Diceros bicornis minor: one gene and its partner. The protein of the gene in region 2 interacts with the protein of the main gene of each other region in a pairwise test. Links are inferred from orthologs where the notes say so. Each region holds a gene or a part of one and is shown on either strand. Other genes may lie near its edges.

Region 1 (15,336 bases), on a different chromosome or scaffold from region 2:
GACTCTCCAGTCCAGAAATTTTCAGTTTCAGAAGAATTATCTTCTCTTTGGCTTAACAGTAGGGGCCAGAGAGAGACCTGTGTATAAAACATGTAGCACAGTCAGCATGTTTCAGTAAACACATATACACTTTAGTAACAAATATATTTATTTGTAGTGAAAAAATATGGCTAGGTTATTATAGTACAAGTTTAAAGGGAGAAATTGTTGAACATAATACACATTTTAAAGAGTGAGGCACTCAGTACTGACCCATATGGGTACCCCCTCCTATGGTTGCTCTTTGTTTTACACAGCTTCTAGATAAATGTATCCAGATAAAATCTCCAGGTTTAACATTTGTCTGAAAAGCGTGGCATGTGTCGGAAGAGTGATTTTGAACCCCTGACTCCAATGTCTTGAACTCTTGAGAACATTTTTCCTTTTTTATTAACATCTGAATTTCCATTTATGTTGCTCGGATATTAGTCTTCATGCCACCTTGTTGAATTTCTTTTCGTGTCCTCTAAAAGTCTTAATGAGCAATTATATAACATAGAGATAACTTACTGGTGAAAATACAGGTTTTGGAAACAGACAGACCTGGGTGTCCCTACTTGGCTCCCCCACTGCTGTCGTCTCCGGCAGCTTGCTCACCCTCTGTGGCTTCGGTATTCTCATCTGTAAAAGTGGAGGCCATATCTCCAGGGGTAATGGGACCGCAAGCTGTGTTAGTTAGCTAGAGCAGCCTTAACAAAGTGCCACAGACTGGGTGACTTAGAAATTTATTCTCTCACAGTTCTGGAGGCTGGAAGTCTAAGATCAAGGTGATGCAGGGGTGGTTTCCTCTGAGGCCTCTCTCCTTGGCTTGTAGATGGCCGCATCTCCCTGCCTCTTCACATCGCCTTCCCTCTGTGTGCATCTGTGTCCTAATCTCTTTTTATAAGGACACCAGTCATATGGGAGTAGGGCCCACCCTAATCACCTCATTTTAACTTAATTACCTTTTTAAAGACCGTCTCCAAAAACAGTCACATCCCGAGGCACTGGGGTTAGGACTTCAACATAAGAATCTTGAGGGGACACAGTTCAACCATAACACAGGTGTGCAGTGTCTGACCCACAGTACGCTTGGTAAGCCTTATTATCTGCCTCCCCAACGTCTAAACTGCAGACTTTTAGTGGAGCCCTGCATGTCTGTACCCCCTTAGACACACTAGACCTGTTTCAGCAGGCGACCCAGGACTATGACAGGCTCACTCTGTCCTCTGTTATCAGGCGTGAGGCCATTTCTTCCCTCTGCCCCAGATTCAGTATGTTATAAATCTTTAAAGTGACTCATCCTGTGTCTCCTCTCTCCCCCCTCAATCCTCCAGCACGGTGCCAGAGTTCTTTTATCTATAAGTGGAAATTTGCTCACCTGCTGATTCTCTACTCAGTCACTGCCTTCTTCTTCAAAATTACTGGTCCCGGCTGGCTTCTGTTCCAGCCGTTTTTTTTCTCATTCTCCATCTCCGGCAGCAGCCGCTGGGCCTTGGTTCGGAAACTGCCCTTGTCATATCTGAGCGAGTGTCACCCAAGGCCTCAAGTGAGTCTCCCATGGCCTGCCCCTCCTCCTCTGCTGCCCCCGGCCCTGCGGCAGGGGAGGCCTAGAGGGTCTGCGGGGGAGAGCTTGTCCTGCGGCAGCACCTCAGAGGGGCAGTGTGCAGGCACCCGGTGGCGTCCTGGCAACCAGCCTGTCCCCGGGTACTGTGGCCCGTGCACAGTACTGGCTCTTCCCAGTTCCCAGTCTGAGTGTCCCCAGAGAAGCAGCCAGAGGAGCTTGTGTCCCTGGGCACCTGAGTAGCCTCCTGAACGTTCCTTGTTGTACTCGCTTGTCTCTTTCAGCAGCAGCGCCGTGGCTCCACGAGCAAAGCCTGGGTGCCCGAGCAGCCGCCGTGGCAGCAGAGTGCAACCTGCAGAAAAGCTGATCGCCATCACGACAGAGATGGAGCGAACCTGTGTGCGTGTGTGCGCGTGTGCAGAGGAGGGAGTGCTGTGCCTGTTTGCGTGTGCATGCATCCGTTTACACTCTTGTGACTCTGAACGCTGCCCGGGCCGGAGGAGTCCCTGTAGCAGCTTCACCTCAGCCTCCAGACACCAGGCTAGAGGTCATGGCAGTGACTTTCAGCCCAGACCTGTCGCTGCCAGCCAGCTGCCCTGTCTGAATAGAAGAGCGGTAGGACTCTAGCTGGGATTCTGGCATCTGCCCCCCAGCACTCGCTCCCTCTTCACATCGGACTGGGGAGCAGGAGGACAACATTTCTGGCTCTTGTCCAGAGTGTGGGATTCTAGAGGCAGCCGGAGTCGTGCTGAGTTCCTGCTTCTGACCCTGGAGGCTGGAGTGGACTGATGCTGTTCAGACATAGCCACCTGGCCTGGCTTCTTTCTTATTTTAAAATTCCCCGCCACTGGGTCCTCCAGACCCTTCCTCGGGCATCTGGGACTGAGCACGAGGCTGTAGACAGATCTGAAACTTTCCACCATCATACAGAAGTACACCAGACACCTGACCGGTGTGCCGTATGCACGGTACTATAGATGGTAGCCCAAGAAATACATCTACCATTTTGGGGCTGAAAACCTGAGTTTGGAAATAGAATCCCAGCTCTCACTGTTCCTTCCCCAGAAGCTGAGGGCTAGCCTCTGAGCTGACTGTGGGGACTCGGTGCGTCCTCCAGGAGGAGGCCAGGTTCCTGGTGGTAGAAAGACCCCTGGCTCCTCTGGCCACACTCCAGGGCACCGTAGTGCTGCCGTTGAGGTCAGCTGACTCCCAGCCAGGGAAGCCATTCTAGTCTGTTCTGTAGGCTTCCAGGGCCTGCCTGGAACTGGTCAGCATCCAAGCTGCCACATCAGCTCTCCCAGTAGCTGGACACCAAGTCCCCAGGCAGGTGGATGCGGGTGGGGACTGCCAGGGACAGTTGGGAAAGGTCCAAGTAGAGATCCCACCCAGCGCGCCAACCCTTCCAGAAGCAGCAGGTGGGAGGTTTCACCCAGAGAAGCCAAGGCTTTGCATTCCAGGAGTGGCCTGTGCCTCCCGCCTCAGCCCTTCCACTGTTGGAGGCCTGTGTTGAGAAAGGTGTAATGAAGAGAGGACTGTGGGGTCAGCTGCAGCAAGTCTTCCTTCCATGTTATGGCCTGCACTTGAGCCACAAGTGTGTGTGTGTGTGTGCGCATGCGTGTGTGTGTGCGCGTGTGTGTGTGTGTGTGTGTGTGTGTGTGTGTGTGTGTGTGTGTACGTACAGGTGCGCACCTAGCCGAGAGGCTAATTCCTCTTTGGATTTTGTCCTCACGTGTAACATTAAGCTGGCCTCTGGGCCTTCTCTTCTCTACCTCCCCTGTGGCCTTTCCTAGCCTCACAGCTGTTAACTGCCTGGGCCCCAGCCCTGTCCCTCACTGTCCTCTGTCCTCGGACCAGAACCTGGGGTCAGGCCCCTGTCTCCTGCATCTGTCCAGCACACTGACAGGCTTCTTCCTGAGATGTCCTCAGGTTTTCTCAGCCAGAGAGCTGCCTTTAGAGTCCAACTGTTGTATGTATGTCACCCTCACTAGGAACGTCCCGTGATCGTGTCGGGGGAGCAGGGCACGGGTGATGATGTGTATTTGCAGCCTTGGGTTGGGGGCTGCCCTGTTCCCTTAGCCCCAGGCAGGAGGAAAGAGAATCGGGGGCTGTTGCCAGAAGAGTAGAGCGAGCCTGGAAGGCCTGGTTTGAGAAACAGAAGGGCAGAGAGCTTAGGGCCAGAGTCAGTATTTATTAACAGTACCTTCAAATATCAGGATGATTCCCTTTTCCTGCCTATCCGATGATGGCTCTCTTCCCTAAGGTACAAGTTGGCAGGACCACCTCCCCCTACTTGTGCACCACCCCTGGCATGCTGGTCCATTCCCCGTGGAATGGAAAAATCTGCTCCCAGAGCTGGGAGGGGCCGTGTGAGGAGAGAGTACATCCAGTGGCCTGGACCTCCACAATGGCTTGGTGCCTCCCCTCTCCTGGCCCAGGTATCCCTAAGGGCTGCCACAAAGCATTGCCCCAGATCCCGACCCAAGGGCCAGCATGGGGAAGAGATGGTCGCAGGCAAAATGCACTTTATACAGAGATTTTCTATTGCTGGGAAGGTGTGTTTCTCCCACAGTTTGTTTGAATAGTCACTTGTTTCATAAATGTCTCACCCTGTCTGAGCAAAGCTGTGCTGTCGTCAGTCTTGTGGGAGGGCTGGGGACTGGGAGTCAGTAAGGCTGAGCCACAGTAAGCCTTAGGCTAGGACACCTGGGTTCTGCTGGACCCAGGAGCCTCTCACCCTTCCTTGGAGGTGGCGAGGAGGGGGAAGGGGGGAGATGAAATGGGAGGCTCCTACATGAGCAACTGCAGCAGACCAGAGGCAGCTCCAGAGCTTGGTCAGAGTGGGGGTCCATCAGCCAAAGTGGTACACAGCACCCTGGCCCAGGGTGGGGTTCCTGATGGCTGTCCTGTGCTGACCCGGCCTCTCCGCCCACTTAGACCCCCCAGGCTGGGGATCAGTGGCAGGGCTCTCCAGGCCCTCAATCCATCCTTGCCTCAGCTCAGCCAGGTAAGCTGCAGCTGTGTGTGTGTGAGTGGAGGGAGTACAAGCCCTCTGGCTCTGGTAGGTGGTCGAGACCTGCCCATAGCCAAGCCGAGGTCCTGGATGCTGGCTTTCTCTCATGCCATCTGGCCAGAGAGTGGCCCCTCTGCAGTGTGCATGGGCTTTCCTGTAGGGGTTTCTAGCCTTGGACCACTGGGAGTGAGAGCTTTGTTAGCCCACACCCCAGCTTCCTGTGGGAAGGGGCTCAGGTAAGACCCAAGAATATCACAGGCTGCCCTGCACAGAGTGAGAAAGGGAAGAGGAACTCGAGCCTGGGACTCATCTCCTTTTTCACCCTGCTTTGAAGCTTCTGCTGGCCCCCTTTCCACCAAGACCTGGGCCTAACCTTCCCTCTCCCTTCTCCTGGCTTCTCTCTAATGTGATTTTGGCTTGGCTGTGGGAGCTAAGACACCTTTGTTCTTGAGCAAAAGGTTCTGGAAGATAGAGTTGTCCTACACACACACTCCTGAGCTCCTGAGGATGCTCCCTAGTTGAGACAAGCACACATTCTAAGGAACAGTGATTAGCCACTGTGACAAAACTGCTTTCCTGGGAGGAAAAGCCAGGCACCATAGCAGCAGATGGCTACTGTTTGGGCCTAGTGAAGGGAGCCTGAGCCAAGACAGCAGGAAAGATAAAATGGCCACCCGTCTGGGCCCAGGGGCAGAAAGAAGAGAGGCGGCCAAGGCCTTTGGCTCTAGGTACTGGGCTGTTCTCAGGGCTGGAGCTGGGGGGCTGTTTACTGCAGGACAGGTGCCTGCAGCTGCTCCCTGGGTGCTACATTGAAAGAAAAGGGGGCTGGCGTGACCAGTTGGCAGTTGAGATTTGCAAATAGGATTCTACAAGCTGTGAAACTGTTTACTCTGCCCCTTCTTCAGAGAGAGAGGTGAAGGACAGGGCCTCTGCGGTTCTGTCAGGTGGCCAGAGAAGCCAGTGAGGTTTGGCCAGAGACTCTAGGAGCCACCAAAGCTGGGGCCCTGGCCTTGGCCAACAGCCTGAATGTCTAGCAGTCCACACTCTGAAAAACTCACAAGCTGAACCCTCTGAGGGGAGAGAAGATCAAGAGGAAACCATGGCCCACACCTAGCACGGGCAGAGGTGCTGGAGGAAACAGAAAAACCACCAAAAGAATCCCAAGAAGTCTGGGGCCAGCCCTGTGGCTTAGCGGTTAAGTGCGCGCGCTCCGCTGCTGGTGGCCTGGGTTCGGATCCCGGGTGTGCACCCACGCACCGCTTCTCCGGCCATGCTGAGGTGGTGTGCCACATACAGCAACTAGAGGGATGTGCAGCTATGACATACAACTATCTACTGGGGCTTTGGGGAAAAAGAGGAAGAGGATTGGCAATAGATGTTAGCTCAGAGCCGGTCTTCCTCAGCAAAAAGAGGAGGATTAGCATGGATGTTAGCTCAGGGCTGATCTTCCTCACACACACACGCACACACAAAGAATCCCAAGAAGTCAACTGTGGGGGCAGGAGGAAAGGTCCCAAGTCTTAGAATGTAAGAAGCCAGCTATGGGGTGTCTGTGGGTGCAAAAGAGGGGTGCTTTTCAGGAAATGCAACTGAGGTGCTAAGTGAGAAGAAGGAGTAATCTGGGAAAGTCCCTACATGAGGGAGAAGCTGAGAGACAAGCCAAGAGGGGCTCAGTTCACCATTAGTAGCTGTTTGAGGCTGAAGGGGGGCTTGGCTCAGTCTTTAGAGAAGAGACCCTCTAGGGGAGAGTCCTTGGAAGGGTCCCATCGAGGTAAGGGGACAAGATGGAGTGAGACCTGGATCCCAGAGGGAAGTGGGGTGTCCCAGCCTCCGATGACAACACATTTTACGTTTCATTCTCACAACAAATGTGAGAGGGACCATTATTGTCCCCATTTCACGGATGAGAAAACCAACCTCAGGACTATTAAGTCATTAGTGCAAGGCCACACCACCTATGCACTTGGGGAGCCAGGCTGTGACTTCACACCACCTGACTCCAAACCTGTCTGCTCTAGGACCTGTCCTGACACACTCTCGGCTTCCTCCATGACCCTCCTTTCCTGTGTGCCACCTTTGTCTGCTGCGGGGGGCCAACTAGGGCCCTGGGGACCCGGATCCTGCCAGTAGTTACCTGATACCCAAGCTCTAGGCCCACCCTGAGGGGCCGAGGGGAGTGCTTTGCGGGAGGGGGAAACGAGGCAGAGGAGCAGTGTGGGACTGAGGGCGGGGCGGGGCCAAACCCGGGAGCCGCGACTTCAGCACCTCGGAGAGCGCCGGCGGGGCGGGGCCCGCGGGCCGGGGGCGGGCCGGGGGCGGGGCGCAGAGACGGCGGGGCCCCGGGGCGCGCGGAGGCGCTCGCGCCGGAGCCGAGAGCGGCGCGCGGTCGAGCCGCGCCCTGCCCTGCGCAGGTGCGCCTGCCGCGCCCGCCCCAGCCCGAGCCCCGCGGCGGCGGCGGCCTCTCGCCGCGACCCCGCCTCCTTCCCCGCCGCCGCCGCCGTCGCCGCCGCCTCCGCGCCGCGCTCCGCCCGGATGGCCAGGGCTGTGCCGGAGAATGGCGGAGCGAGAGAGCGGCGGCCTGGGCGGGGGGGCCGCGTCCCCGCCTGCCGCCTCCCCGTTCCTGGGGCTGCACATCGCGTCGCCGCCCAATTTCAGGTGAGAATCCCCGGCCGCCGCGCCGCGCCCCGCCCTTTGGCCCCGACTGATCTGCCCCGGCTCCCCTCCCCCCGGCCCCGACACCCACACCCCAGACCTCGGGAACCGGAGGGCGGCGTGGGGATGGGGTCTCTTCCCCGGACAGAGGCCCCAGAATCCCCCTCAGCCTCCAGTCCAGACTGATCGCCGCCGCGTATCCCTGGTGCAGCTCCCTCCGCCATTCCATGTGCTAGGCTAGAAGATTCTGAGGTGGAATTGGAGGAGGGGGCGCGGAGGCCGCCGTCTTTCCCACTTGGGGGCGGCGGCGGGGCCTGGTGGGGTCTGGAGTGAGATCTCCGAGGAGGCAGGTAGGCTGGGGCTTTGCCTGTGGCCAGTCCGAAGGCTTCTGAATAGAGATGGAAGCAGGCTGGGGTGCCCCGCGGGTCCCAGTTTCTTGGTGCTGGAAGAAGGGAGTCGTGGGCCCTTCCCCCAGCCCTGCCTGGCCAGAGGGGCCTAACTCCCAGGAGCCTCTGTGGATTTGGGCAAGCGCTGACCTGGTCAGGTGTGTGCAGGTGCGGAAGGCTCAGCCTCAACCCGGAGATCCTAGGCCCCCCTGTGGGAGGGGGAGTCTGGTTTGGATGGCCCCGGAGTAGCGAGGAACATGGGGGCCAGGTCCCTGCTGGGGTAAGTACCCAGGACCCTGATCTGAGCTCCCCCTTTACCCCCCTCCTTGAACCTTTCTGATATTAGGTCGTTGGGAAGTGGATTTCAGAGCAGTGGACAATGGATGTTGTGGGGGAAGGTCCTTCCCCCATAATCCTGGCCCCAGTTGGAGAGGAGGAAGAGGAGGGTGTAGCTGCTACAGTACCTAGGAGAAGGAGGCCTAGACGAACCGCATTGTCTCTCCATCTAATGAGCTGGCGCCTTCCCCTCTCCTGGGGCCCCCACCCCAGCCAGGCCCCAGCTGGGCCCTGGCGCCTACCCCTCTTCTGACCAGGGGGTTGCTGGCTCCCTGGCCCTCAGGTGGGCAGGGGCCCCTGGGGATCTCTAATGGCATCATCAGGACTAGAAATCTCCCCGAGGCTCTGAGCTGAGCCGGGAAGACCAGAAGGAGGGGACCAGATGGAGGAGGCCAAGCCTGAAGGCTGGAGGGCTGGGGTCTTTGTGGTTAGTGCCTCAGAGTACCAGGCTGACGTCTGAGACTGACTCCACCTGACATGATACACACTGCCTTCCTACCAGGAGGCCCCTCTGCAGTGGAAAAGCATGGAGCTCAGAGGGACCTGGGTTCAAATCCTGGCTCCACCACTTTCTAGTTGCATGACCTGGGTGATTTTGTCCTCTCTGAGTTCCATCTGTTAGGTAAGCTAATTAATATTGATTCCTTAATGTATATCAAGTCGGTGCTCCACCAGGGTCAGCCCCCGTGTTAGCCGGCATTTATATAGCTCATTACCATTCAAAGCGTTTTCCCAGAGCTGGCTCATTTAACTCTCACAACCACCCTGGGCTGGGTATCGGTCTGCCCATTTTATAGATGAGGAGACTGAGATTCAGAAAGCAGGGGACTTGCCTGAGGAACCCGAGGATGTCAGAGCCTGAGGCTGGACTGGAACCCAAGTCTGTGTGTGTTCAGTCCACTCTACCTCCAGGCCCTGCTTCTGGCCCAGAGGGCAGCTTTGCCCACCCTGCCCCCCCATCCCCACGTGACAGAGGACAGAGCACTCCATCCAGCCCTGCCCCTGGCTGTCAGGTCACCATGGACACGTCAGCAAGAGGAGCTGACGTGGCAGATGCCAGCCAGTGAGTGTATCTGGCCCTGGGCCTGGTGGGCGCAGGTGGCAGTACGCCAAGGCTGTGGTGTGGGCCGGCCCTCCAGGACACCGTGGCCTGGCCGTGGACAAGGCCAGCTTGTGGGAATAATCAGGGCCGTGTCTCCAGCCCCACGTGACCTACCCCGCCTGCCCTGGCAGCCCCCGCTGCCCTTTCCCTGGGCCCAACTTGGTTTAACCCAGGGTGGTTACTGCTCTCTCGTGGCTCTTTGGTGGGGTCGTGGATCTGACTCAGCTGGGTTTGAGTCCTGGCTCGGCCTTCTTAGCCATGTACCAAGACTGGGCACTTGACCTTCTGAGCCTATTTCTTCTCCGTGATGCCGGCTTTAGCACCTGCTCAGGGTAGTCCTAAGACTCGGATGAGAGGGCACATGTTGAGTGTTTCAAGGGCTGTGGAAAGCTGCATTCATACAGGGCTGTTTTTTTAATATTGTTGTTATTATTGTGTGGGTACCCTCAGCACCACTGTCAGCTTCCAAAAGGCATAAGAAGTCAACACCTAAACTTTGGTTTGCCCAATGGCTGGCACAGAGTAGGTGCTCGGTAATGCCTTAGCGGTTTCTTATTTAATGAGGGAGGAACCCGGATGCTGGTGTCCTGGAGTACAGAGAGTAGCAGGGCCTGCTCTCAGGGAAGAACAGTGGGAAGCACTGGCCCTCGGGACCGTCTCTTCCCCAGGCACCACTCTCGGTGCTTTCTGTGCAAGAGCATTTAGTCCTCACCAGAACCGTACAAACAGAGTGTTATTACTATCCCCACTCTACAGATGAAGAAACTGAGGCATAAAGAGGTTAGGGAAGTGGCAGAGCTGGGGTTGGAACGCAGGCAATCTGATTTCAGAGCCACGCTGAAAGGAGGGAGCCCTGGCACACTGGGGGAGACTTTGTGGAGGGGTGACCCAGGCGTGGAGCTGGAGGGGTGTCGAGCGTTCGTCTGTTGGTAGTTGGTTTGAATAAATATGTGTTTGTTTCTGATTATAGAAATGCGCCAACCAGTGACTAGTAGTTCCCTCCGAATATGGTATGAGGGGAGGGATTTTCACTTGTTTTACATACTTCTGTATTATTTGACTTCTTATTTCTATAACAAGCATAGGTTAATTCTGTAACTTACAAAATAATAAAAGAAAATTCCAAACTAAAGTGATACATGTTCATTATAAGGAAAACTCTAGAAAAGAGATTTAGAAACTTATGCAATGAATACATTGAGCTGGGACGGGGGACGACAGGGAGGGACAGTGGGACAGTCCATGGGGGAGGGACAAAGGATGCTCGCAGAAAGTAAAGCGAGCAGCCTGCCCTGGCTGTGTGGAAGAGGAGTTGGGGATGAGAGAGACCTTAGAAATCAGCTCATCCAAACTACTCCCCTCCCCTTTTACTTAGGAGAAGACAAGAGAGAGTGAGTGGCTTCCCTGAGAACACACAGCAAGTCAGTGGCAGAGCTGGGACAGAACCCGGGCCTCATAACTCCCTGGATGGAGTTCTCTGCACCCTACCACACCGCCTCAGGGATGAGAGATGAGGTCACTGAAGAGCGCAGGGACCTCCTTATTCATCTCTTCATGAGGTCGTACGCGCTTGGCTGTTCCTTTATTCACTCAACAAATATATGCACTTTGCCAGGCTCAACAGAGAGACACTCCAGAGGCACAGACATGGGCCTGGCCATGATGCAGGTGACAGTGTAGGAGGGAGACAGACAGACAAGGCCGTACAAGACAGGCTGGTAGGTGTGATGGTGACCCAGGTGAGGGGCCGGGGGAAGCCAGGCCCTGTGCCTCAGGAAGGGTTCATCTCAGCTTGAGAAGAAGTGAAGCAGCATGGTCTGGGGCAAGTGGAGGGCGGGCAGGCAGGAACCCGTAGGCCGTGTTGAGACACTGGCCTGTCCACGAACAAGCAGTGGGAACCAGCAAGGGTTTAGGAGGCAGGGAACGACAGCCTTGGATGCCATCTTGGGATGATCACTCTGGCTGCTGGGTAGAGAGTGGACGGGGAGGCAGGGAGACCACTGGGAGACCGGCCATCCCGCTGGCGAGAAGGAGGGGTGGGGAGGATGTGAGGAAGATTTAGAGGTTGGTTAGCCCACTTGGTGAGGGAGCTGGTGCAAGGGGTAGATAGGGGAGAGACAGGAGTCCAGGCTGACGCTATGCCCCCTGGGGATGGGGTGCCCTGTGGAAGATGAGAGGTTTGGCGAGCAAGGCGGTGAAATCTTTAGGAGACCTGCTGAATCTGAGGCTGGTGATGGTTGGGAGACCCAACTGGAAGACTCAAGCAGGCAGTTGGCTTGGGGTCTGGAGCTCAGAGGAGAGGATTGGCCTGGGGCCAGAGACCCTGGGAGTCTCATCTCAGAGAGAGAGAGAGACAGCCATTGAAGCCTCAGAGGGAACATTGCTACCCAGAGAGACAGCAGAGTGACGGGAGATGGCCAGGGACCAGGCTGAGGAGTGCCAGCCCTGTGATCTGTTCAGCCGGCCATGGTGGGGGGGGTGGGGAACGGAAAAGCTGTTGCTGCCGGAGCTGCCCTCCCCCAGCCTGAAGCCCCGGGCAGCTCCCCCTGGCCCGGGGCCTGATGAACCTCCAGTGTGGGGACAGAGTGTTGACTTGGCCCAGGCAGAATGTCAACCTGTTCTTTGATGTCACAGCCTTAAAGTTGGTCTCTGGATTCTTGGGACTGGGCCACAACCCAGCTATAGCTTGGAGCCCCAGTGGATCCCACAGATTGGGTCACTGCCACCACCCCTTGGAGATTCTTACCTGGTGTGGGTGACATCTCTGTCCCCTGGCCCATTGTATTCATTCAGAAAATCTCTAGGAGCATCAGCCATGGGCCTTGCCTTGTTCTGGCACTGGAGATGCATGTGGTGCTGTCATGGAGCATCCAGTGACAGTCACCCGGCACTTCCTTTAATAGGCATTATTTAGTGCCTGCGATGTACAGGCTTTGTGCGTGGATTAGAGCAGGGGTGGGAAGTCAGTGCCAGAGTGAACGTGGTGGCGTCTGCCCTCAGGAACACAGCCCTGAGAGAGGGCAGGCAGCCCAGAACCAGGACTGGGAGCCTGGCGCTAGGTTGGTGTCACCCAGTTCAGAAAGTTTGTCAAGGAGAGCGGAGGAGCAAAGATCCCCCTGGACCCAACCACATCTCACACCATGGCCGCGTTAGTGCTTCTTCCTGTATGGGGTTCATCATGGGACACCATAAGGTCATATATTCTGTCTTTCTACTCGTTATGTCAGTTGCCATTTTCCACATTAATTCACAGACTTTATGATGTTCATGCAAAGACGGCACAATAGTCCAACCACAGATGGAATTCCATCTACTGGACGGCCACGGTGTAACCGCCCCCTGGTGCTGGGCTCTTTGGCAGTTTTCACTTGTCTGCTGTTATGGGGAATAGGTGTCCTTGTGTATAAAGGTTTTTCCAGGGGCCAGCCTGGTGGCGTTGTGGTTAGGTTCGCACACTACTTCAGCAACCCAGGATTCGCGGATTCAGATCCCGGGCATGGACCTGCGAACCACTTATCAAGTCATGCTGTGGCAGCGTCCCACGTATAAAATAGAGGAAAATGGGCACAGGTGTTACCTCAGGGCCAATCTTCCTCAGGAAAAAAAACAAAAAAGTTTTTCCACTGTGGGAATGTTTTCTCGGGGCAGTTTCCTACAAGTTGAATCGCCAATCCCAGAGTTCTTGTTCCGTCTCAGCGTCAAGGAGTTTAAACTGATCAGATACATTCTAACCCCTTCGTGGGTTGGATTCAGTTTTCACTGGAGGTGACGCCAGTGCGGACATGGTCGGGAAGAGAATTCCAGACCACAGCAACACACCCAGCCTGACACCCAGCGCTAGGAGTGGGATGGAGAGAGGGTTCTGAGGATGAGGCTGGGCTTGGCTCGCCCCTAGCCTGCTTTTCAGCCAGTGCCACCTTCCCAGGGGCCTACACATCCTACCCTAGACTCTGACATAGGTGAGGACACAGGAAGTTAAGTTGAAAGGGGAACTGGCTTCGAGATTCCCAAGGGGAAAATCTAGAAAGAGCTGGGGACACCAGTGGCTCATTCATCCAACAACATTTATGAAGTACCTATTAGGCGCCACACATTGTTGGGCAAGAGAGAGACGATCCTGCCCTCATGGAGCACCTGCCTCTAGGGGGAGCCCACCACTAGTCGCTACAACCCAAAGTCCGGAACTACCCGCCAGAGGGACTAAGAGAGCCAGTGGTAGGACTGTTTGGCCTGGTCAGGGAGGTCAGAGAAGGCTCTGTTGAGGGAGCCTGTGGGGCAGGAGCCTAGAGAGTTGGGGGCGGGGTGGGAGGCCTGGGAGGGCGAAGACACAGGCTAGAGGGGATGGGAGGCCCTTCAGGCCACAGGTGAGAATTTTAGCCTCTTTCCCTAAGGGCCAGGGGAAGCTATTGAAGGTTCTGAGCTGGGGACGGGTGACAAGCCCAGATTTGCATTTCAAATGTGGGTTTTGGTTGCCCAGTGGAGAATGGCCTGTAGGGGAACCTGCTTAGAGAGGAGCAGCCGATCCACAGGTGTCCTGAGAACCCACTGGGAGCCAGCTCTGCTTAGCACTACGAGGGCAGCAGAGAGACAGGCTGGACCCTTGGACCGTAGATGCTCTCTGTCACAAGAAGGGCCCGTGGGGCACTGTGGCTGGGACCCAAGGTCACTCAGCTGGCATCCTCACCTCACTCCAGGAAGCCCAGGAACAGGAAGGAGAGAATGGCCTCCCCCACGGCCAAATGCCTGGCTCCGATTTGGCCTTGCTCAGCTAAAGCCTCAGCACTTTACCACTTAACCCTTACTCTGCGTACACTTCTAGCTCAGCCCCGGGTTGAAACAGCAAATTAGAAAGGGCTGGGACCGCTGTAGGCGGTGCGGGGGTAACAGGGAGATGTGCCAGCACGTGGCCAGGGAGAGGCCATGAAATCAACATCAGAACACAAAAGGCACGTTTGTTCACTGAGAGCTCAGCTCGGGAAGGGGTGGGGGCCCCAGAGGATGGCATGTTCAGAATGCAGTGAGCAGCCCGCTTGGCCAGAAGACAGGACTGGGGCACTGGAGTAGGAGGAGACAAGGAGATGCAGGAGGAGGGGGCCTCGAATATAAAGATAGACCCCAAAGTTCAGGGAGGTCTCAAGAGACCAAACTCATGACAGAGTCACCAAATGTTAATATGGATGACACCTCGGGACCCATGACACCCGAATGGGCAAAGGGCAAGCACTACCCATTGATCGGCAGTGATCCCTCCAAAGGGAAGTTGCTGAGTCTCCAGATCTAGAGGTGAGGGATGCTGGCCTGGGAGGGTTGTGTGATTCAGCTGGAGGTGTCCTCCTGGTGCTCAGGGCTCAGGTTTCCCAGAAGATGGATGGGCGGGGTCAGGAAGGAACCCCCCTCCCTCCTTCCTTCCCTCCTGCCCTCCATCTTTTCCCTCCTCCCCTTCCTCCCCACAGTTGCCTTCCCTGAGCCTGGCGGGACCAAGGGTCTGTTTAGCCCTGCCTCTACACAGGGTCTCTGGGGGCTTTAGCTGGGAGACCCAGAACATCCGGTGCCTGGAGAAGCGAGAGGAGAGAGCAGGGTCGGGCCAGGAGGGGGTAACTTGCACAGGGGACTCCTTGACCAGTCCACCCCCTTGATCCTTGGTCGTGACCTCCTGACAGCACTCTGCAATTCACAAACACTCCGCTCTGCTAGTCTCCCCAGCAACCTTGAGGTGGGTGGGCAGGTATGGGTGGCCTCATTTTATATGTGGGAAACTGAGGCACCTTATGTCTGAGCCTTAGGGTTCCTCATCTGTAAAATGGGTGAAATAAAACCCTCTCCCAAGGCTGGAGTGAGGATTAAGTGAAATGCAGAGCGTGAAGAAGGTCAGCGACCGGGACACAGCAGCTGCTCAGGAGATGGAGTGGCTGCTTTTCATAAGTGAAGGAGTCAGGATTTGATCTCAGGCCTCCTGCTCCAAGCCTGAGATGGGGACCATTCTGCCGTCCTGCCTCGCTGATGAGATAAAAGTCAGATAAGGAGTTCCCTCGACCCACCCCACTGGGGCCCTTTCCACCACTGGCCAGTTCACCCAGTTCCCTCATCTGTAAAGGATGGTACAGCTGTCCCTGCTGATCCCCGGACCTGCCGTCCTAGGAAGTGGGAATGTCGGGTGATGCCCGGGCTGTAGAGATGAGCCGAGAGGCCCCCAGCCCAGGTCCAAGCCAGACCCTGCAGGCCTGCCCCCAACACTTGGGTTTGAGAGGAGTGAGTAGAGGCTAAGGGT
Region 2 (15,066 bases):
GAAAGATTGGCAACAGATGTTAGCTCAGGGGCAAATCTTCCTCACCAAAAAAAAGGAATAAAAATAATTTCCCCAGGCAATTCATTAAAATCAAGGTGTATCAGCAGTTGCAAACTAGTTAGCTGAAACTTTGCTTGATGTCAGTAAGTGAGCATCTGCATATAAGATTCTTAGCGCATATCTGGCACATAGTGAATATTCATCAAATTTTAGTTACTATTTTTATTCTTCATAAAACAAAATAAAAAGAAGTTCTTGACTGATTCTAGGGCTGGGGCAGGGAATATACAAGATGAGCCTGGAACATGGAAGTGCTCAAAACAAAAAACAAAAACCCCCATAATTATGGGGGTATGTCAAAGGCACATAGGAGCCAACTGAAAGCTTCTGATGACTAAAGCTAGAACAATTTGAGCAATAAAATAATGTAGAAGTGGATTATAACTCAAACTATGAAATAAATATTTATAATTCCATAGTGATATAAATAAATTATTGAATGAATAAATAAATAGGGGCAAATAGATAAATCTATCCACGTGGAAGAATTCCTTTCTTTGCCCTCCAGGAGGTGGAGTATAAAACTTCCCACCCCTTGAGTGTGGGCTGTCCATCATGACTTCCTTCTGAAGAGCACAGAATGGAAAGGGGGAAAAGGAATGATTACTGTGGAGAAACCTGACAAGCACTACTTCAGCCAGGAGATCAAGATTAACATCAACATGGTAAGTCACCTTGATAGTATGTACTCTCGATTTGGTGTGAGGAGAATGGCCTTTTACCTCTGTAGTCTTGCCCCCAAACCCCATAACCCCAGTCTAATCACAAGAAAAACATCAGGCAAATCTCAGTTGGGGGGGAATTAAAAAAAAAATACCTTACTGGTACTCCTCAAAGCTGTCAAAGTCACCAAAACAAAAACAATGTCTGAGAAACTGTCACAGCCAAGAGGAGCTTAAGGAGACGTGATGACTAAATGTAACGAACGTAGTATCCTGAATGGGATCCTGGAACAGAGAAAGGACATTAGGTAAAAACTAAGGGTATCCGAATCAAGTATGGGCTTTAGTTCATAATAATGTATCAATAATGTCTCATTAACTATAACAAATGGACCATACTAAAGTAAGTTGTTAATGATATGCCAAAATGGGTGTGGGATATATGGGAGCTCTCTGTACTCTCTTCGCAATTTTTATGTAAATCTATTCTACAATTAAAAAGTTTATTGAAAAAAGAAGACTGTAAGGTATACAAAGTTTATTGGAGGAGATAGGAATGTAATCAAAGAATTTATACCATGTGTTGAAAATCCTAATGAAGGTAAGTGTATGGTGGGATGGTATTACAGAAAAGAAAGAGGCCTTCTGGGAGGGGTGGAGGAGATTTTACCACAAAGGAGAAAATACTTGAGCTGAGGCTTGAGGAAAAAAATAGCAGTTGGTCAACCAGAGAGAAGAGGGGAAATAAGTACTTTTTTTGTTTAGTTTGCATTTACTTAAACGTCACTGAAGCAGAAGAATGGATGTGCGTCTTCTCCATTTTGAAATTCTTCTTGGCATGCCCCATCTTAATGTCTGTTTCTCTTGACTGGATTCTGATCTACAGAATTATAGTCCTTTGCCCACTGGATTATCAATTTATTAGGAAGATGAAATTAGCAGAAGTGTTTTTTATTTATTTTTTTTGTGAGGAAGATCAGCCTTGAGCTAACATTCATGCCAATCCTCCTCTTTTTGCTGAGGAAGACTGGCCCTGGGGTAACATCTGTGCCCATCTTCCTCCACTTTATGTGGGACGCCGCCACAGCATGGCCTGACAAGCGGTGCATCGGTGCACGCCTGGGATCCGAACCCGGGCTGCGGGGCATGAGCACTTAACTGGTACGCCATGGGGCCGGCCCCCAGAAGTGGTTTTTAAATGGATTTTATGATTCTGTTCTTGATCTAAAGGCCTGAAATCCTTAAAGATTTTGTTGTCACAAACCATTTGATTGTGCTATTTCAGGGTTTCTTGACCTTGAATTAGTGAAATTTGAGGGCAGATAATTCTTTGTTGTGGGGGGTTGTCCTGTTCGTTATAGAATGTTTAGCAGCATCCCTGATCTCTACCCACTGGATGACAGTAGAATCACCCAGTTGCAACAAGCAAAAAAGTCTCCAAATAGCGCCAGACTTCCCCAGGGGACATTAGAGAAATACCGCTCCTTTTCAAACTCAGATTGCAAAGTTAATTGTAGGCCCTAAAGGCACGTATTGCTAAAGAGAAGTTAAAACTCTGAAATACCCTGAGGATGCTTCTCATAGTAAACAAGATCTCAAGATCTCTTCAAAATAAGTTGCAGTTTGTAAGGTCTGATTTGGGTGAAATACCAGAAGCCAAATGCAGAGTTTATGCTGTTTTATTTCATTCATTCATTCATTCTCCAAACACTTATTGAGGTCCTGCCATGTATCAGGATCTATGCTAGGTTCTGAGGATTTGTTGGTGAACAAGACATACCCAGCTCCTTTGACGGGGAGCCTGGTTGAATTCTGGTGCAGGTCCCCAAACCTTTGGACATTGAAGACTCGATTTACGTGTAATGGTGACACTGAAATAATTGTCCTAATTGATTTCACCTGAAGGATCATATATGGATCCTGACTTTATTTATAGGCCTTTTCTTCATGCATATACTACTCCTTATCACATGCCTTTCTTCAACCTCCTGCCCTTTCCCAGTCCCAGAGATAAGAGATGGACCATGGGACTGATGGAATTGTATTGGGTCTTCTGGCTCTCAAGAGTCATTATCCAGTCAGATGTTTTCACTGACCTTTGCCTGCAGAAATTGCTCCTAAGAGAGAGGAATTTAAAAGCAATGAAGCTGACCACTTTGACCCTGCTACCATATTCCTAGCTTTCCTCATGGTGTACTGTGAAGTACCGCTGCACAGGTTCTTAACTCGAGTGTTTGTGGAACTGGCCTGATCAGAACATTTGTGGCTGCCTTAGGCCCACCTGAATCCCAGGGCTTCCTGCCATTGTGTCTTTAAGTCCTAAATTTTTCAGGAAAGTCCTAATTTTATTCAACTTTTTTTCAATCAGTGACACTTGTTAGAGTCCCTGTTGTTTCTTCAAACACCTGCCAAGACTTTTCATATGACTATGTTTGCAAATCAGGAGGATTCCCTTGTCATATTATACCTGGTGTCTGCGTTTTTGGTTTGGAAAACATAGCTGCTGCATTAGTTGTCACTTTACGTCTTGCTGTGTCTTCCTGGCCGTGGCTACCCACCAGGAACATGCAGCTGACTCATGGCTCAGGACCTGGTTCCAAGACTGGCAAGTCGAAAAGTTGTAAAAAAAAGGTGGGGGGGGGCGTTTCTTAAATATAAAGTTCTTTCCTTGTGAATTGCAGTTATTATTATGTCAGAGGTATACTGGGGCTGCCTGGTAGGTGAGATACCTTATGAGGTCTTTTTGGCACTTTTTTGATGGTTTCAGTCCGGCTCTGTTTTGCAAGTGGCAGAGATCCACTCAAGCTCACTCAAGCAAAAGGAGGATTATTGTAAGGATATACTAGGTTAGGAACTAGACCTGGAGCACGATCAGGAATTTAGGCAGCTCCGTGAACTTCTGCCTGTCTCTCCCCTGGGCCTCTTAATCTCATCTTCAAGGCTGGGAAAGCAGACAGTATGTTTGAGGAACCAAGTGGAAGGCCAGTGTGTCTGGACTGTCACATGAGGTTCAAGAGATGGCCAGGGGCTCTAGATCATGCCAGAGCTTGCTAAAAATTTTGGATTTTATTCCAGGAATAATGGGAAAATGATTGAAGTGTTATAACCAAGTGATTGACATGATCAGCTTGACTGCCCCAATTATTCTGGTTGCAGAGGGAGAAGTTTTGAGGAGGCCATGGGAAAACAAGAAGTGTGATAAGAGTTGGGCTGAAGGAAATAAAGAGAGCCATGAGGGCATGTAGAAGGGCCTCCAAAGTGAGTATGGGAGCTTAGGGAAGACTTCCTGGAAGAAGAAATATTTTAGATGAGATTGTAAAGTTAAATAGGAGTTAACCAGATGAAGCGAAGGATTGGGAGGGGAAGAATGTTCTAGACAGAGGGAATAATAGGAGCAAACACTGGGAGACAAGAGAGAAACAATCCTTGTGGAACTTATGATTTAATGCAAAGTTTCTCAAACAAAAAAAGAATCATTTTATTTTAATATAATTTCAAGTTCACTGAAAAGTTGCAAGAATAGTGCAAGAAACTCCCACATACTCTTTGCTTATTTGCTCTCTCTCTGCCTAATACACACACACACATTTTTTCTTCTGAAATATTTGACAATAAATTGCAAAATCATGTTCCTGTACCCCTAAATACTTCAGGCTATATTTCCTAAGAACAAGGACATTCTCTTTCCTAACCAATATCAGACATATTGACATGTCCATATTGAAATGCTTCTGATTTTCCAATAATGTCCTTCAGAGCTATTTTTTTCCCCAGTCCAAGTCCGATCCAAGGCCGTGCATTGAATTTAGTTGTTGTATCTCTAAAAAGTTCCTCAGCCTTTCTTTCTCTTTCATGACCTTGCCATTTTTGAAGAATACAGGTTGGTTATTTTATAGAATGACCTTCAATTTGGGTTTGTCTGATGCTTTGTCATGATTAGATCCAGGTTACGCATTGTTGTCAGTAATATCACCTGGTATCTGTTGTTTTTTCCATATTTCTAGCTTCTGTAATCTTGATGCTTTAACATCTGCCCTGCATGCATATGCTGGACACACCTTGTTCTGGACAACCTGATAATGTGCCTGAGTCACCTTGCCTTGACCTCTGGCCTCCCTCCTCAGGAGTTCTCCCCAGGGAGTGCTTTTCAAACACAGACTAGCCAATCCTAAATCTGTTTACCCTGCCTGCCTGTGTGTTCCCTCAGAAATCACAGAGAAGGTGCTTGCCCACAACCCGCCCCCCTTTCTGTCTCCTAGTGAAGAGTCTGGTGGTGCCCTGTGGGCCCCCAAAGGCGTGACCTGTATTCTTTCTTTTGGGATCTGTGAGTATAATAAACTATCTTTTCACTGATAGTTGTCTCCTGATCTGTTGACCTTACATACCTAAATAATAATAAATCCTATTCAAACATCTGCCAGGTTCTCCACTTATAGTTACTATTTTCTCTTTTCAATTAATAAGTAATTTGTGGGGAGAGATCTCAAACTTTTGTGACTGAGATGCATAATAAGAAATATATTTTACATGGTGAGACAGCATATCTATCCATCTATCTATATCTGAAACAAGAGGGCCGGCCCCGTGGCTTAGAGGTTAAGTGCGGGCGCTCTGCCACTGGCGGCCCGGGTTCGGATCCTGGGCGCGCACCAACGCACCGCTTCTCCTCCCTCAGCCGTGTCCCACACACAGCAACTAGAAGGATGTGCAGCTATGACATACAACTACCTACTGGGGCTTTGGGGGAAAAAATAAATAAATAAATAAAATCATATATCTGAAACAAGAGCTTTGTGAAACAAGTCATATCTTTTCCATATGAAAGTTATTTTAGTTTCTATTCTATTCTATTTCATTTGAAAATAATTTGATAAATTGATTTCATAACCCTCTAATGGGTAATGACCTTTGTTTGATAGCACTAGTCTGATGGAAATATCACTTTGGATCATCTGCTTGCAGAAAGGAAAATAGGTGGATAGATGGGAAGGGGTAAAACTGACAGCAAGGAGCCCATTACAAGGCTCTTGTGATAATTCAGACGAGAGAGGTTGGTGGCTTCTGGGAATGAGGTTGAAAGAAGTGGGTGGGTTTGAGAGAAAAGTGAGTGAAATTGAGGAACTTGAGTTAACAGAATGGGTGTGGGGAAAAGAGAGAGGAGTCAAGAATGACAATTACCGCCTTGGCCTCTGGGGCAGATGATGGTGCCCCTTACTGAGATAAGGAACTCTGAAGGTTTATGGTTCAGGCTCTGTCATGTTGAGTTTGTGGTTTTAGGGACATTGGATTAGAGCTGTCCAGTGAACAGGTGGCTCCAGGGCACTCAGGAGGCAAATCTGGGCTGGATTAATAGCAAACTGAAGTTGGATTTTACTCAAGGAGATTTTACAACTTCATGCCCACTGCAGGAAGCAGAAGTTGGCTCAGGATAGGAACAAATGCTCTGAAAATATTTCCAGTAATTTGGCGTTGAGATGCATAAGTAAAATAATATAGACAAGTCAAAAATATATCAAGGAAGTCAATTAACATAAATTTACTAGAATAAATTTCACTTTTCAGCACTTTCCTGTCTCTTTCGGTTAACTGCTCTGTAAAGTCTTATGTGCATATGTGTAGAGAGATGTGGAAAATAAAGAAATTACACTTTTGCATAATATAAAAACAATGCTGCCTTAAATCACAACTCCATTAACCTGGGCTTTCCCAGATGCTGGTCCTTAGATTTAATCCTCCAAATCTAGCAACGAGAATTCTCAGGTATAGATACGGCAGATAAACACGAGCATGGTGCAGGCTGCAAAAGATGCCTGTTTTCAAGCGGCACGAGTTTCGGGTTGCATTGAGAAAAAGGGGTTTTCTAGTGGAAAAGAGTGTGGATGCGTAAGTTTATATGCATAGTGTTGGGAATGATGGACTGTGCTCCGTTAGTGGTCCCTCATCCCCCATCCCCACCCTTTATCTGCTCCCCTCCCTCCCGTTCTCCCTCCATTCTTTCGGCCTTCTCCGGCGTTATTCTGGGATTAACGGCAGGGTCGGCCCCATACACAAACGCAGCTGGCTCATACGGTCAGCCTGAGCCCTGCTGTGCAACCACGTCAGGAATTCCAGTAAGTTGGCAACACTGGAGCACAAAGACAACAACAATGAGGAAAACCCTTCAGTGCAGAAAGGAATGTTTGGAGCCCCGGCTGCTACAGTGAAAGGACGGACACACACACACACACACACACACACACACACACACACACACACTCCCGCCCGCGCTCACCCTCCCGCATCCCCACGCGCCCACGCGCGCACTGGGAGGCGCGCAGCCCCTCCCGCGCATGCGGTCCCCCTGCCCGCCGGCGGGCCCAGGGGCGCGCCTCGCCAGCGCCCGCCGCCGCTCTTTGTAACTGCGTGGTGCGGAGACGCTCATTGACTATGCAGCGCGGCTCCAGCCGGCGTCGGAGCGGCCTGACCCCGGCGCGGTCTCGTACCATCACCCCGGCCGCCCGGAACCGGCATAAATCACCCGGGGAGACTGAAGTGCAGCTTCTCGCCCCCTCGCCGCTTCCCTCCTCCCACCCGGCTCGTCCCTCTCACTTCCCACCACCGTGCGCCTCGGGTCCCCAATCCTGCCTCCTCCTCCGCGCCGCACAGCGCCAAACACTGTGCAGAGAGGCAAATAGCGTTTCAGTGACTTTGGTCAGATCAGAGAACTCTGGATTTCCAAATCTAGAAATCTCGAAAAGAAAGCCACGAAATATCTCCCACACTTCCTCACAGCCCTGCTCTGTTAAGTCTTAGTTTTCACTTTCTGTGTCTATTTCTCCGTCTCTCTCTTTTTGTTTTTTAAAAGCAATATCTACCCCCCCCAAAGCTTCACCAACCGCTAAAGCCCACCGAAGCTACGCGATCCCGACTGTTGGGGGTAGGCAGAGCCCCAGACGATCCGTGCTCTGCAGAAAAGGGGTGGCATTTACCGGCAGGTTCTCGCCCTGGGGAGGGCGAGGCGGAGGGACCCTGCCCGGGGACTTCGTGGATACAGGGCTGCCGCCTCCACGGTCACGGCCCCTCTGACTGAGGGAAACGGCTCCCAACTCCTGGGACCAGGACCTGGCACCTGGGACCCCGCTGCCGAGTTAGTCCAGGGACCGGGGAGGGAGATTCTGGGGCGACCCCGGGCCCGGAAACATCCTCTCCCAGGGCCAGGCAACAGGATGCACCAACCCTGCTTTTTTTTTTCTGTTGGCTCTGGTGTCACGTACCTGCTGAGGACGAATCTCTGAGGGTGAATGTAAAGTTCACTTGTAGTGCTCTTGGGGGCCAGCTCCCCGCCAGCCTGTCCCAACACTGCCCCAAGGAAGGGAGCTGCGGGGTTCTCTGAACCCCTTACGTTCGTTTCTCCCTCACATAGAGGGGCACCAGCAAGATCAAGACGTTCATTCAAGTTTGCTTCAGAATGAACAGACTTGTAGAAGCGCATTCAAGTTTGCTTCAGAATGAACAGACTTGTAGAAGCGCAATCTGGCCGTGACACCTGTAGATGTGGTACTTAAGAAAAGTAAACAAGGGTCCAATCCCCTCCCCGACATTGATGCAACCCCCTCCATAACTTGCAAAAAACACAGAGCACCCCATCTCAGCGCCTCAACTCTATGGGGGGAAACCAGAGTGTTGGAGGGAGACTGCGGATTTCAGACTAGAGAATGGTCACAACTCTCTCCAGCAGGCTCTTTACTTCTCCCCTTCCCCTGTCTTCCTTTTCTTCCTTTTCTAAGTCTGATTTCTCCGTGGACCGCCTAGCCGACTTATATGCGGAGGATAATCCTGCAGAGGGGCTAGGGCAGCGCAGGACCGCGTGCGAGTGTTTGCATGTGAGTGACTGTGAGAAGTGTGTGTGCCCGTATGAATGAGGGTGTGTAACTGTGAAGTGTGCGTGCATGTGTGTCAGTGTCTGTGCGTGTGACTGGAGTGCGCGCACGCGTGTGTGTGACTGAGGACTGTGCACGCGCGTGAATGAGCGTGTGAGACTGCGTGTCAGTTTGTGTGACACTGAGGAGTGTGTGCGACTGTGTGTGAGGCTGTATGAGTACGTGTGTGGGTGTGCGCGCGTGGAATGTGCATGTGTGAGCGCGGTGTGTTCGAGTCCCCACTCCTCCCTCGCTGCAAAGTGCAGAGGGCGGGCCGGGCGGCAGGGGGCCTGCCCCGCTGGATTCCCGCATGCTAGTTCCGGGGCGGTCGGGTCTAAAGGGCTTTATACACTGTCTGGAGGGTGGGGACTGGCGCGGGTAGAAAACGGGATGCCTCGGGCGCCGGGGCCGGCTCTCCGCCACTAGGAGCCCGGCGAGGCGCGGACCGAAAGGAGCGCTCGCGAGCGGAAGTGGTGCGGGTGCTGTGTGCGACGCGCGCCCACCTCCCAGGGAAGGAACGGCGAGGCCGGGGCCCGGGACTGTCGCGGGGATGGAGCGCGGGGCGGCGGCGGTGGCGTGCACGCTGCTGCTGGCTTTCGCCGCTTGCATGGCGCCGGCCAGTGGTCAAGGTAAGCGCCCGCCGGCTCAAGCTCCGCGCGGAGCGCCTGACTTCCCCTGCCGTGGCAGGGTCGAGTCCGCAGGCGGGCGATGGGGACCGCGGCCCGGCAGGGGCCAGGGCAGGGCGGCAAAGCCGGAGCGGCCCCCCCTGGGGCGCTCAGGTTGCCCAGCGAGGGGCGAGTGGGAGCGCCCCTCCTTCGTCCGCTCGGGAACTGAGCAGCCGCAAACTTGAGAAAGGAGCTCCTCCGGTTTCAGCGACAGCTCACACCACCGGGACCCCATCTTTGTTCCCACGGGAGTTTGTCCCGACCTTCTGGAAAGCGCTTTGCAGTTGGGACCCGGAGAATGAGGTTCTTTCCCCAGTGAGTGCGCAGCCAGCTACCCCCACTGATTTATTCTCTCCGGGGCTGAGCGGTCCTCGGCGCTGCTCGGTGCGCAGTTTTCCACCTGCAGCGCCCCGCCGGGGAGATCCCGTCGCGCGCCCTGGACTGCTGCGGGCTAGAGCCGCCCCCCGCCCCCCTCCTTCTTCACCAGGGAAACTTGGTCCCGCGGTGACCCCCAAGAGACCGCGTCTCGATACAGATCATTTACGAGGCAAGATAAGGCCGGGAGGTGGGATTGGCTGAGAGAGCGGCTGAGGCACTGGAGCATTTTCTTGAAGGGTTTTCCTTTCCATCTGGGAGGTGGGGGCTTTTGTGTTGATGAATGGGGCCCGTCTGCGCGGCCAGAGTTTTGAGGGCTCGAATGAAGAAAGTTTCTGTTATAAAGCGCTTTAAACTTCTCTCAAGTTGTCGGAGAGTTTACCTTTTTACAGAAACAGAGGTAGAGAAAGAGAGGGAGGAAGGAGTGGAGAGAATAAAAACAGTACGAGTCCCCTAAGAGAGAAGACGACGAGCACGTAGAGAGGAAAAGGGAGAGGAGGAGGAGAGAGCGACAGAGCTTGAAGACAGAGTACAGCAGCGCGTGGGGGCGGGGGGGGGTGGAGAGCGAGAGGGAGGGCGAGGGAGAGCGAGAGCGCGCGCGAGAGAAACCGGGGATGAATGGGAAGAGCGAGAGGAGGCCGGGGAAGCGGCGAGCTCTCTCCCTGGCTTTGCGTTGCTAGGTAGCAGCCGGGAGCTGCGTGTGACCGACCACCAGACAGACAGAGCGGACGCTGCTGCCTCCGCGGGGACTAATCTGTCTATGCGGATGGAAGAGTCCCTCCTCCCCCTCTTCCTCTCCCGCTCCTTCCTTCTCGTCGGACAACTTAATTGCCCTACAATGAAAATGAAACCCCTATTGTTGTAGGATTAGCCAAAGCAATAAATTGATTTCCCTGGATCACATATTGGGGTTGACGGGTGGGGACTGTGGAAGCCCCCACTTATGGCGGAGAGAGAGGCGGGCTTGTGGATGGGCCGTGGCGTGTATTCAAATGGTTAATCTGCCTTCTTTCCTCAATTCTTAGCATAAGCTCCTTAGAGGGAATCAACTAAGTAATCATACAGCAACTCCTAGTAGTACCCATTTCAGACTTCCTGGGAAGAAGTTTGGAAACGCCAACATACTCCACTGGTCTTGCAAAAATCGCAGGAAGGGAGGGGAGGCAGGGGGAGACCGTTAATAATTCTTCCTTTGAACACCTTTTCTCAGTGTTGGTAACACAGAAAGAGGATTTATTATTATTGTGGAGGGTTTGCCCCAGTGCTTAGGGTTATATATATCTCGCGTCCTAAATATAGCCATAGGATTTACTATATGTTCCTGTCTGTGCCTGGCAAAAGGAAATCTTGTCCGGATTCATCTGGGATACATCTGGGTTGTCCCCGTACAACCAAAACAGATGTTCTCTCCCCTGGATTGATGGTTTAGTCACCAAATAACCTGTACTTGCTCTTCCTGGTAGTTTACATCTATCCATCTTCCATTCTATAATAATAATAATATATAATAATAATATGTATAGTAACATATCATACACTTATACATGTGGCAGGCCCTGTTCTAAGTACTTTACACTTACTGACTCCTCTAATCTTCATAATGCCCTTTTGTAGTAAGTACTCCTTCTCCCTGTTTTACAGATGAGAAATGGAGGCACAGAGCAATTAAGTAACTTGCCCAAGGTCATACTGCTAGAAAATGGCAGAGTTGTGAGGCAAATCCAAGAGATTCTGACTCCAGAGGCTATAATTTAACTGCTGTAGTGTGTAGCTCTCTCTCTGTTTCTCTGTCTCTCTTCTTTTGTACTAAAAATGTCATGCTCCCTAAGTTACTAACCATGCGTGAGGTTACTAAAGAAGCTGAGGGGCATTTTGCAAGTCTTTGCCACATAAAGTCCAATCCACCTGCTGCTCCATTACTGTGGATATTTTTTCAGAAACTCTTCAAGTTTCTATGACCCAAATCCAAGTATTCTCACTGCCGGTCTTCCTTCTTGATCATTTTTACATATGTGTCCTCTGAATGTCCTTAGCCTGGAAGGTTAAGGAGATTTCTAGATTCTTGTTGTATTGATTCTACTTATCTGATGAAGTAAGTATGATTACAATGGAAATGCCCTTATTTTAGCACCACATTTTAGGTAAGATCTTACTGCAAACTTTGCATCATTAGAATTTGGAAAAGAGTTCTGAGTGTTTTATGGTTAGTCTTTTAAAAAAATTATAGCCTATCTGTAGCTACAAATTATTTGCATTTTCCTCATATTTTGTATACTGCTTTTTAAGAAAAAATTTGAGAGACTGAACTCTGGTGTCAACCTGTCTGGGTTCCAGCATTGGCTTTACCATTTTCTAGCTGTGTGACCTTGAGGAAGTCACTTAACTTTGCATGGCTCAGATTGCTTATCTGCATAATTGGTATGATAATGAAAGAATCTATTCCATGGCATTTTATGAACATAAAGATGTAAAAGTGCTTAGCATGGTGTAAAGCATATAGACCATCATCATAAACTAGCAGCTGTTTTATTATATTGACCAACACAAAGTAACATTCTTTTGCTTACTATTCATATTTCCAGTTTCCAAATTCACATAGGAAAGTCTTTAAGCATTTTCCCTAACGTTTCTTTGAGGAATTCTCAGATCCCAGGATCTGATTTGAAGTTTTTTGAGAAAATATTATTGATCTTAAACAAATTTATAGTCTTTCATCCAGTGCAAGTGTGATTTACTATCAGCTTTTACAACAATTACATCTTCGGGTGAAGTTTATGTGTTTAAAAGGATTGTGGGGCCAATAGGAAACATGCAACATTTGGTTCCATCACGTATCTGATACTTCACTGCTGCTTTTATTTCATAGCAATTGGCTTCTCTTTCTCTGCTTGAAGTTCTTCCTTGCTAGTGTTTAGGGCTTCTGCTTAAACTCCCTTCAGTCATGTGCCTGTCCTGTTTTAACAGAAACTTAGACTTTTACAGCTGGAGAGAACCTTAGATATCAACTGGTCTACTTGCATTATTTTATAGATAAGTAACTAAACCCTGGAGGGAAGGGAGGGAGACTGAAAGGAGTGACAGGGAGGGCCCTTAAGTGCCTTGCTTAAGGGCTTGTGACCTGTGATAGAGCTAAAATCTGAACCCAAGTCTCCTCCTTCAGTCTTTCTACTTGACCATTTTTAGATACATGTCCTTTGAATGCCCCTAGCCTGAGATTTCTAGATTCCTTTTCTGTTGATCCTGAGTTATCAGATGAGGCAAAGTATAATGAAAAGATGACCTTGGTGAATTTTCTTAAAAAATTGGATGGGTCACCTGTCCCAGGACTGCCTAAGAGGAATGCTATGATAGGTTAATACAACCATCTGCCATGTGCTTTCTGCTTGGTCCAGAGTTTATGCCACGTCTTATGCTCCAACTCCCAAAGACCATACTTCTGGCTTCATTTTTCAAAATTTTGGGCCATCAAAGCACATTGCTAAAGATCTCTAACCTACACGACTAGGTTTTTAGTCTTATTCAAGGTAATTATTAGGTCATGGTTAATCATTGTCTGTGTTCTCTAGGAAGGTACTCTGAGAACACTGACAGGTTTTAAAAAATGTTTAATTAAAAATTTTCATCATCATCTTTTAGTAATGATATCAAGAACCTAGATGTATTTCCAGTGTGCCTAGAAGCAAATTGTAATATTGGCTTTGGGGTTTCTGTTAAGTTCTAGTAGCTAGAACAAGGTATGTAGAAAGTAGAGGGTGCTTACAAAGTTTGTTGAATTGAAAGGAAAGGGATTCTAAAGATTGACTGCATGATATAGAACAACCAAAAAGGTACTAATTGTGAAGCTCTATTCTAATATGGGGAAAATGAGTTTGATGGAGCCTTTGTTGGTGTAAGTCAAATGGTTATATCATATCCTATTAACTTTGTGATCTTGAGGAATTTAAAAAAATTGTCACCTCTGTGGCATATTCCACAAACATTTATTAATATTAAGTGTCTACAGTGTGCTAGTGAGTCAGGAGTATCAATATTACAGAAAGGTTAAGGAGGATGAGAACTGAAAGAGGAGTCTAGATTTCACAATTAAAATGGATTGCAACTTAGCATTTACGATTCTGAGACAGTCATTCTATAGTTCTTAATAACACTGGCCAGGATCTCACCAACATTAGAAAGGTTTGACATGTTTCAGCCTCAGAGTTTTGGGCTGCCTCTTTAAAATGATCAGATTGGTAGTTGTTTTGAAATGTTGAGACATTTCTTTGATGCTTCATATGTTCCCTAGGGGTCCACGCAAATGTTTCATAAGCAATTTCTTGACAAGCTCAGCATTGTGAGATGAAGTGGGAAGAGTGAGATTTTGGGGTGAAAGGATCTGGGTTTGAGGCCTGGCTCTGCCTTTTACTATCTGGGAAATTCAGTTCAACATACTCAACTGCTTTGGATCAGTTTTTTTATCTGTAAAATGGGCACATGTTTACCTCATAGGGTAGTTATGCCAATTAAATGAGGCGAGTATGAAATGTTTTACAGACTGTGAAGTCTCATATATATTTCTATCCATTATTATTACTCTTGTTAATAATTTAACTTTTGTGTGGGAGCTGGCCCCGTGGCGTAGCAGTTAAGTACGCGCTCTCCGCTGCTGTTGGCCGGGATTCAGATCCCTGGCGAGTACCGATGCGCTGCTTGTCAAGCCATGCTATGGAGGCGTCCCATATAAAGTGGAGGAAGATGGGCACAGATGTTAGCCCAGAGCTGATCTTCCTCACAAAAAAAAAAAAGAATTTAACTTTTTCCAAACTTGAGGAGAAGAAGATATTGTAGTATCTTGGTATCTTTGTTTTTTTTTTACAAGTGGTCCTTTGAATGATGCACCTGTGCATGTTGAGATCTCATTTTAGTGGCTACAACAACCTTACATACTGGTCTGGACTCATGTTTGTGAATGACAGAAACCTAAGTTAAACTGCCTAAAGCCAAAAAGGAAGTTTATTGAGATACGTAATTGAAAAGATACAGATATGAAGTTGAACCATATGGGATTGCCACTTTTCTGGGTCATAATAAAATATTGGCAATTTCCTTTGGTTCAGCCTAAGATAAAATGGGGGCTCAGCCTGTCATGCTGATCTGGTTTCTTTCTCTGTCTCCTGACTCTGAGATGACTCTGCTCTCAAATGTGTTTTCCTCTAGTGTTATATAAGATGGCTGTCCATGCCTCCTGGAGCTACATCCTTTCATATCATGTCCACTGGGAAAGAGCAAGTGTTTTTGTCTTGTTTGTTCCCGGAAAAAGTCTCAGTTGCATCTCAGGGGCTCTGCCTCGGTCATAAGCTCATTGGAGAACCAGTCACTGTATCCAGGGGCATGAAGTGTGCCCATGGCTTACGCTTGGGTCACATG

What was found.
Region 1: the proteins of LRP2 (region 2) and MAPK8IP1 interact in a two-hybrid assay, tested with the Homo sapiens proteins (2 studies listed by BioGRID). The link is inferred for Diceros bicornis minor from reciprocal best matches to the Homo sapiens genes LRP2 and MAPK8IP1.

The regions. Positions count from the first base shown.
Region 1 is NC_080770.1:24,289,188-24,304,523, reverse strand, and holds the start of MAPK8IP1 (C-Jun-amino-terminal kinase-interacting protein 1), read left to right. Parts: upstream 1-7,088; 5' UTR 7,089-7,146; coding exon 7,147-7,247; intron 7,248-7,255; exon of another isoform or gene 7,256-7,594; intron 7,595-7,976; exon of another isoform or gene 7,977-10,200; intron 10,201-15,336. UniProt on the Homo sapiens protein: The JNK-interacting protein (JIP) group of scaffold proteins selectively mediates JNK signaling by aggregating specific components of the MAPK cascade to form a functional JNK signaling module. Required for JNK activation in response to excitotoxic stress.
Region 2 is NC_080749.1:51,009,193-51,024,258, reverse strand, and holds the start of LRP2 (low-density lipoprotein receptor-related protein 2), read left to right. Parts: upstream 1-9,008; 5' UTR 9,009-9,170; coding exon 9,171-9,249; intron 9,250-15,066. UniProt on the Homo sapiens protein: Multiligand endocytic receptor. Acts together with CUBN to mediate endocytosis of high-density lipoproteins. Mediates receptor-mediated uptake of polybasic drugs such as aprotinin, aminoglycosides and polymyxin B.